Linked DNA regions of Nothobranchius furzeri. The protein of the gene in region 2 interacts with the protein of the main gene of each other region in a pairwise test. Links are inferred from orthologs where the notes say so. Each region holds a gene or a part of one and is shown on either strand. Other genes may lie near its edges.

Evidence for each region.
Region 1: the proteins of cct3 (region 2) and znrd2 interact in binary tests that used the Homo sapiens proteins (3 or more experiments, as listed by UniProt). The two-hybrid records come from large-scale screens. The link is inferred for Nothobranchius furzeri from reciprocal best matches to the Homo sapiens genes CCT3 and ZNRD2.

Annotation. Positions count from the first base shown.
Region 1 is NC_091750.1:56,222,064-56,226,137, forward strand, and holds znrd2 (protein ZNRD2), read right to left. Parts: upstream 2,818-4,074; 5' UTR 2,739-2,817; coding exon 2,723-2,738; intron 2,389-2,722; coding exon 2,237-2,388; intron 1,696-2,236; coding exon 1,611-1,695; intron 1,469-1,610; coding exon 1,029-1,468; 3' UTR 740-1,028; coding exon of another isoform or gene 727-739; 3' UTR 354-726; downstream 1-353. Other genes in the region: leucine repeat adapter protein 25-like, read right to left, coding at 1-103, 727-739. UniProt on the Homo sapiens protein: Might play a role in mitosis. Antigenic molecule. Could be a centromere-associated protein. May induce anti-centromere antibodies.
Region 2 is NC_091759.1:9,430,836-9,434,839, forward strand, and holds the start of cct3 (T-complex protein 1 subunit gamma), read right to left. Parts: upstream 2,857-4,004; 5' UTR 2,754-2,856; coding exon 2,726-2,753; intron 1,461-2,725; coding exon 1,399-1,460; intron 1,117-1,398; coding exon 1,066-1,116; intron 972-1,065; coding exon 909-971; intron 824-908; coding exon 727-823; intron 624-726; coding exon 506-623; intron 340-505; coding exon 153-339; intron 41-152; coding exon 1-40. Other genes in the region: pdia8 (protein disulfide-isomerase A3), read right to left, coding at 3,721-3,810, 3,896-3,953. UniProt on the Homo sapiens protein: Component of the chaperonin-containing T-complex (TRiC), a molecular chaperone complex that assists the folding of actin, tubulin and other proteins upon ATP hydrolysis.

The DNA of each region.
Region 1 (4,074 bases), on a different chromosome or scaffold from region 2:
ATGCTGCTCTTTGTGCAGATGGGGGCATTCACCGGTGGTCCCCTAATGAGACACAATGCATTAATGTCTGCCTTCAAAACCTTCCTGATGCAGCTAATTAATCCTTATGTCAGATTAATGAAGACACTAGCCAGTTACTTAGGTGGTTTCTGAACAAAGCCTGATGGTTTAAAACGCAACAGTAATATATTTTCTGGACTGGATATAGCCGATTTGATCACTACATTTATTTATTTTTTTTCTACTAGATTTGCTCAATTTGATCAGTTCACACGTTTTTTATCTTGTTTCTGTTTAAATTAGGACATGTCATGTAGTCCAAACACAAAATGGCAGTGAAATAATTCAACAGCTTCATCACAAACACTTTATATAAGAAAAACTGTCAGTTTCCAAAAGGCTTCAGATTAGCGAGTTAAAACGAAGGATTTACATGAAAGTTGCACATTTGAGAATAAACTTTTTATTTAACCACCTATGTGCTAGCATGTAAACCGGCGCCCTCTGGTGGACAAAATGATCATCTACAGAGCAGAACTGAATTTATTCTAAGTCACATAATTAGAAAACGGATCACTAATTTTTTCAAATATTAAGTCCTAATAATGTACAGCGGGAAAGGTGTGTATGTTCTAGATTAAATATGAAAATGAAGATTCTGAGTCTCAATTTAAAATTTGAACTACAAAATGTCCTCACAGACACACTATGTTATTTACATCAAACCTTTTTTACTCATCAAACGATCAAAGACAACTAAAGAAAGTCGATCTGCTTTGACAACTGATGAATGTTTGTACTCATAATTTACAGTTTGACAAAAGCAACATACTTCTACCATCGGCACACCTACACTTTTTCAAGAGGAACTTGAGCACATTTGAATTGTGATCCAATTTCCATTTAATTTGAGCTTTAAGCAAAGAATTAGGCAGAGAGATAAAGCCGACCCAAAGTTTGTACCCTACAGCAGCCAGAACAAGAAAAGATATTCCCGTCACTCCGTAGAGTCAACCAGTCTCCTGTGGTTACTGGCTGAGCTCCTTGAGGCTGCGCAGTGAGCTGGCGCAGCTGGTGATGAGGCTGCAGAGCTGGATGCTTGCCTCAAGTGAGGATGAACTCTGTAACTGGGTAGTGGCCCAGCGAAGTTTAGTAAGAACTGCTTCCTCGGCTTCCTGCAGCACAGGTCGTAGAGCGGCGCTCTGCGGACTGACAGGGGTACGAATGGGAGCTACGCTTGGGCTGGAGACAGGAGCTGAAGGAGATGGGGCGGGAGGTGGAGGCAGGAGGGCTCTTCCTCCAGCAGCAGCGCCCTCACAGTGCTCTGGTCGGGGTTGAGGAACCGTCACCCCTGCCTGACTGCTGCTGCAGGGTGTCTCGTTGAGTTGAGAGGCTTGGGTCGGTGGAGGGGACTGAGCTGCAAGCTGCTGCTCTCTCACCTGAGACAATGCAGCCTGAGCATTCAGAGCTGGAAAACGGAACAAAGAGGTGGGACTGAAATATGAACTGGAGAGATTAAATCCTAAAGACACCACAGAGGAACCAGCTGCCCTTTTTTAGGGCCTAATGAGCTCCAAAATCAGGGGAGAGCAGACACAACTGGCGCTCACCAGGGTTATCTTTGTCGATATCAGAGTCCAGCTCCTGACACGAGACACAGTAGTTCTTCTGCTGCTTGTCCTGTAGAAGAATAGTCTGAAAACACACACACGAATACACACAATCACTTATATAGCCATAATTATGTTTTATAATATTTGTTACTACTTCAACTTCAGGACAAACTACCAGAGGCCCAAAAAGAACAAAAAAACACCACTTGAAGTCAGTCAACAAAAGATGTTTGGACCTAGAAAACAGTGACCGGTGTTTAGCGCCATCTCTTTTCCTCTGGCAATGCAGGTTCCTGTTTCCGGCCAAGGACAATCGCTGATGGGAGGGGTGAGCGTTCCTTGACAGTGTTTGAGTTTAAGCTTAGCTTGTTTTGAAGATTTGCTTTTACCTTTTTTAGTGTGTCATTACAACAAAATGATAACCGCAGTTCTCTTAAGGTAATTTGAATAAGTCAGTAAGTAAACATTTTGCAAAAATACTTTCATAAAACAAAAGATAAATTCCTTATTAATGCTTAGGCTCTGTCCTCAGCAGGGAGGCCACAGAGAGGTGCAAGATTGCTGTCAGGGTGGCACTGGCCCACCCTGGACCCACCCCAGAACCGCCTCGGGCCTGAACTCACCCCGCAAGCATCGCAGCACTCCCCCAGCATCTTGTAGCCTTTTAGAAGGTAGTCTCCCATCAGCTTGCTGATTTTATCTTGCCGTTCCCTTCGAGCTTGGATCACCTTCATCTCCGCCTCACATGGAGGTTCCCACTCAAAGTCCTCTTCATCTGCAGGTCAGCAACAACGGAGTAAATTAACTGAATCGCACCAGTGCAAAGCTACACAACCAGAAACACAGCTTTAATATTTACGCGTGGTGATTTATTTTCTCGTTGTTTGGCTGAATTTTTATCAAAAGGGGTCAGGAAATGACAAGTTAGCCAGAAATACAACGCTGTTATCGTGGAGATAACACTTTCCCCGGTGGCGATGAAAAATATTACAATAAAAATAAAAATACCGCAGAAATCACCGCTTAAATGAGTGCCAAACGACGTAAGACACTAAAACACACAGTGAAACGGCAAAGTTAGCAAGGAAATAACAGTTAAGTTCACATACCTCCATTCAAAGCCATGTTGCTTCAGTGCTACACGTTCTGCGTGATGACATCAGGCGCTGTCGTCGACTTCCTCTTCGTTCATCAAACTGAAACCATGCAGCGGGTTAGAGCGCCCCCATGTGGGGGTGATGCGCATAGACATGTAGACACCCGGCGCTGGAGAGCGTCACTGTGTCGCCGCCATATTGGATGGGTCTCCTTACTGTCCAAAGTCAATGCAGAGTGGACAAATTTGCCCGTTTTTTCCAGCCTACCATAGCTATGTGTATATAAACCATCGACATATACATGATATAAACACTAGTTGGTGAAAGCGAGAGTTGAGGGCGTAGCTAAACGGCGGCCATCTTACCCCAGACAACAGACCTCTGCTCTCAATGGTAGCAGCTGGAAGGTGAGCGATCAGCTTGATGTAAAACAATCTTTACTCGATTAAATATTAACACATTTACAAGCGATTTGCCTTGATACAAACCTTAGAACACATAGGCTTGAGATAACATACTTGCAAATGTTAAAATAAACGGTTTTGCTTTTGAAAGTGACTTAATTGTGAACCATGTGCCCCACCTATAGGCTATTTGCGTGTTATTCAGGTTGAGACCACAATAAGTAATTTATTTGGTTTTACAAAACCAATAACGATTTTACGACAGCCAATTATTTTTTGTCCAAATGGCTGTGTTTGGGGATTTATTTTTTTATTTTTTTGTATTGGCACTGGAGCCTATCTCCAGCAGTCAACGGGCATACAGGAGGGGTACACCCTGGACAGGTAGCCAGCAATATATATATATATATATATATATATATATATATATATATATATATATATATATACATACATAATTTAGCCTTAATCTATTCCTGTTCTGTGAAATAGGTTTTGTTTAGAGATGTTTCAAGATTATTTTGAGGTAAGCCCACATAAACAGAACACATATGCAAAATGTGCACCCCAAAAAATAAGACAACCAACATCCAAATTACATCGGTCAGCTAGAATGGGCCGCCAGCAATAAAATGTAACCCAGCTAATTATTTTGTATTTTCACTATTTCTCGACCTATTTATTGACTTTCTTTTATTCTGTCATGAATCGTGTGTTTGTCATGTGTTTATATACATATCTATGATTGCAACAACTGGCGTACTATTGAAAACAGATCACATGGGATTACTATGGACCTTTCTAGCCTACCTGATGGAATTTTATATCTTAATTTATTTCATCTACTTTTAATTATTATACCATACCATGTGTCTGATTTCGTGAAAAAAGCTTGATAAAATGTGATTTCAAGTTGGATAAGCACCTTCCTCAGTAGAAATGAATGCACTGGGGTGAATG
Region 2 (4,004 bases):
CTTTCAGCACACAGGAATCCTCGATGATTCCACCTGGAACCTGAACACAACACGGGAGATGTGAGACAAAAGAATGAATGCAATTAATGCAGGAAACACTTGATCTTCTGTTCTAACCTAAAGTGATCAGGTGTAATGAGCAACAGTCGTACCTTCTCTACTTTGGCGTACTTCTTGATGTCAATCTCTTTGCGCCCGTTCTCTTCCAGCTCCACCGTACGAACGGCGTCCAGCGCGATGTTGCAGGCCAGCTCCGACCAGCGGCTCAGAGCTTTGGTGTTGATGGCAGAGTGAACAATCTTCAGCATCATGGAGCGGTCTGAAGTGTCCACGGGGATGCTGGAGGAGGACAACAATATTCAGTCAAACTTCCTGTACAAGTTTCACAAAATTAACTCATTCATAAATGTGTAATGTTATTTCTAAGCTGCTGTTTGGTTGGCTTACAACAAATCAAAAATAATTATAATGTAACAAGGAGGCGATGGAAACTGTCAGACTCTACCTGATTTCCTTCAGTGTGTCCAACATGTCCTCCAGAGCCTGTCTGTAAGCACTGATGATCACTGTTGGATGCATCTGCTGCTCCAGAAACTGTTCAGCTACAGCCAACATCTCTCCAGCTGAAATTTGAGACATTAAATGACGGATGTTAAATAAAACAAACTGAATTCCCTCTAAAGGGGAAGTCTGAGCTTCTTTAGATTAAAAATAAAGCTTTTATACCCAGTATGATGACTGATGTGGTCCCATCTCCCACCTCTTCATCCTGTGTGCGACTGATCTCGATCATCGACTTGGCTGCGGGATGCTGTACCTGAATCTGTTGCCATGGAGAAGCAGGATGTTATGAAACACTGAAGGAATTGATGAAGTGACAAACTTCCAAGTGTTTATGTGACCCTGACCTCTCGGAGGATGGCATTTCCATCGTTTGTCATTACGATTCCTCCTGTAGGGTCAAGCAACATCTAGACAAAATGACATGAAAACATGGAATATTACGGACTTATTTTATTTTTGTAAATGACTGGGTGCGGTGATTCTCTGTATAGACAAACTCACCTTCATCATGGCCCGTGGGCCGAGGCAGGTCCTGATCACATCGGCTATGGTCTAAAATAGATTGCACAAGAACAATATATGTAAGGGCTGGGGGAATAAAACAATTTTAAAACAAATGAAGCATTTTTCTCTTCAGAGACTGATCTCAGTCTATTAAGAGGAATTTCTACTCTAGTCTGGCCTTTTCTTTCCCAGCTACTCAACGTCTCCATATTAAAAACAAAAAAACAGCCTAGATTGGCTAATCTCAAACATTAAACAGTTTTCTTCCGCACTCAAAAGACAGATGAGACTGTCTAACACAAGCTTTAACGTTTTACAGCAACAACTGACCTTTGCTGCATTGATGTTTCCAGTTTGGACTTTACGTCCTGATTCTCTCTTCACATTCTGGTCTAAAAAGAGACAAGAAAACAGAGAAATCACTACAGAGTCACCTAATTGAAGGGTGTTTTTGCTTCAAAACACAGATAGCCATTATTTCGAGTGACCCAATTAAATGACTAGCAATTCGAAATTGTTGGTTTTAAAGAAGTAATTTATCAGTATGGTTAGCAATCCCATGCCTGCCAGATCGATAACAAACCAACACATTACATTAAAAAAAATCAATAAAAACAGCTGTGTATAAATATGTGACAGATCATTTTTGACAAATGTCCAACACTGTTAAAATGCTTCAAAATTAATGAATATGATTTACCAGTCACGTAGGCCAAAGTGCATCTATGACTAGAATCCTTTGTAGTAAATTATTCTCCTTACTAACTGAGTTGTTGCATCTTTATTTAAAATCAATTTTGTTGGATTGTATCATTAAACTAGTAATATCTATACAGCTAAATAAAACATTTTCTTATTGCATTCCAAATAAAATGAGTGTTTCGAATATTTAAATAATTTTTTTGTTGTCGTAATTTTTTTATTATGTTATACTCTTCTTTTTAGCTCCTATAATGAATTTAATTGCTGCTGTGACACCAAAATCCCCCCACTGAGGGAGCTATCTATTCTAGTCTAAAATAATTGTAAAGACAAAATGGACGGAATATACCAGTACAGATAGAGCTTTCGTGATTTCAGACACTATGAATGAATGAATTTTGATTTTTGCAGGATAACAATGCTGTCAATTCGCAATTACAGGCTATCAAATAGATCAATCGAAATCGGAATGTATTAAAGCGGATGCTTATTTTGTTGTTCAGTTCAGTCACAGCGCACACACAAAACTAATTCAAAATCGTGTTTAATAGCTGCATCAAAGGTAATTTCATGTCTTTTTTAATTATTATATAATGTTCGCAGTTGTCTAACTGCACGCTCATGATGAGTAAGAGGACTGTTAGCTTAAGCTAGCCTAGCCTAGCATACCTACACGCTTTCCGCTACTTCCGAACACGAGCTAAATATGCTAATGATGCCGGTTGGGTGTGGATGCTATCAGTAGCATGTAGGCTAACAATGCTAATACCGGTGGAAGAAGCTGATGCTCGGCTGAGTTATAACAGTTGGTTAGCGCATCCTTAGCTGCTTTGTGTCCCAGCCGATCTGCCCCGCGTTCAAACGGTCACAAAATTGACTAAATTGCAGAAACTGGCGGGAAGTAACCGACATCTAACTATTGAAAGTATAGTTAAGAACAAATTTCGATACTTACTAAGCACTAAAACCTGCTGGCCGAGCATTTTGAGACCACGACGCTAACAGCACTAGCCTCGAAGGTTCTGGGTGGCACGAGGAGAGGGACGGCTCAGACAAAATGGGCAAGACATTACTTGAGGTCCGGCCAATTAGCAAAGACTATTATTTTTGATTGACATGCGCATTCACCAATAGAGTGAATGAGGTAAACTCTTCTAGTAATAGGCCTTTTATGGAGAAAACCTAATAGAAATAGAACCCACAACGATTTAGCAAAAAAAAAAAAAAATTTTTTTTACGAAGATTGAAAATGACTTTTATGTGTTTTAACACTCGTGGAACTTGCAAAGTTTGTTCAGTTGATCCCAGCTATTATTATTAAGCTTTATTACAACACACAGGCATGGAAATAATGGTTGAGCAAACTCAGGCACACTGAAGTATAATTTAAAAATTAAATTTCTTTTTAAATCCCATCATAAAAACAACGGCTGAAAACAATTTTACAAAAGCTATTAAGGCGTATTAATTCATGAGAATTTAATTAACAGTCAGTTGTCAAGCATGGTTTTATTACATAATCTCAGCAGAGCTTCTCAACATAACAAAGCTCACAAAATAACCAAAGACTGCCAAAGTATAAGTAATTAAGTCAATAAATAAATAAATAAATAAAAACTAAACACAGCACCAAATACAAACTGCACAGATGGTATTATATCAAAATGCATTTAGTTTTCTGGAATAAAAAAACAAAGAATTGCACATGAAATGGCTTTATAAATGAATAAATATATAAATAGTTCTATTCAGCAAGGACATGGTTTTAGAGGGGAGTATGGAAAGAATCTGATTGGTAGAAACAAAAATGGGTGGACCATGTCCTGATTCGTTGTTTCTGGTGTGTCACCAGGAGCAGAGCTCTTGCTGCCCATTCATGTCTGTGTAGCTGTTACAAGACTTGATCTTTTTGTTAATCAAAGTCAGTTCTGATCAGTAGGTGAATCTTTGTCACAGTTCGTCCTTAAACCCAGTCAGCACCAGACCATGACTCGCCTCACTCTTCAGGAACTTTAGGAAGTCTTTGAGCTCTCGAGTGCCCTGAAATCAAGATGTCCCACAACCATTAGACATCATGTGTCTCAAAGATTGATGAACTCAAGCTGAAACTATTAAAACTTGGTACCTGGTATCGAATGGGCTCATCCTTTTTACCCACTGGAGCAAAATAGATGGTTGGAAACCTGGAGAGAAGAATAAAATCATAGGAAATAAAGACTCATGAATTTTCTTCT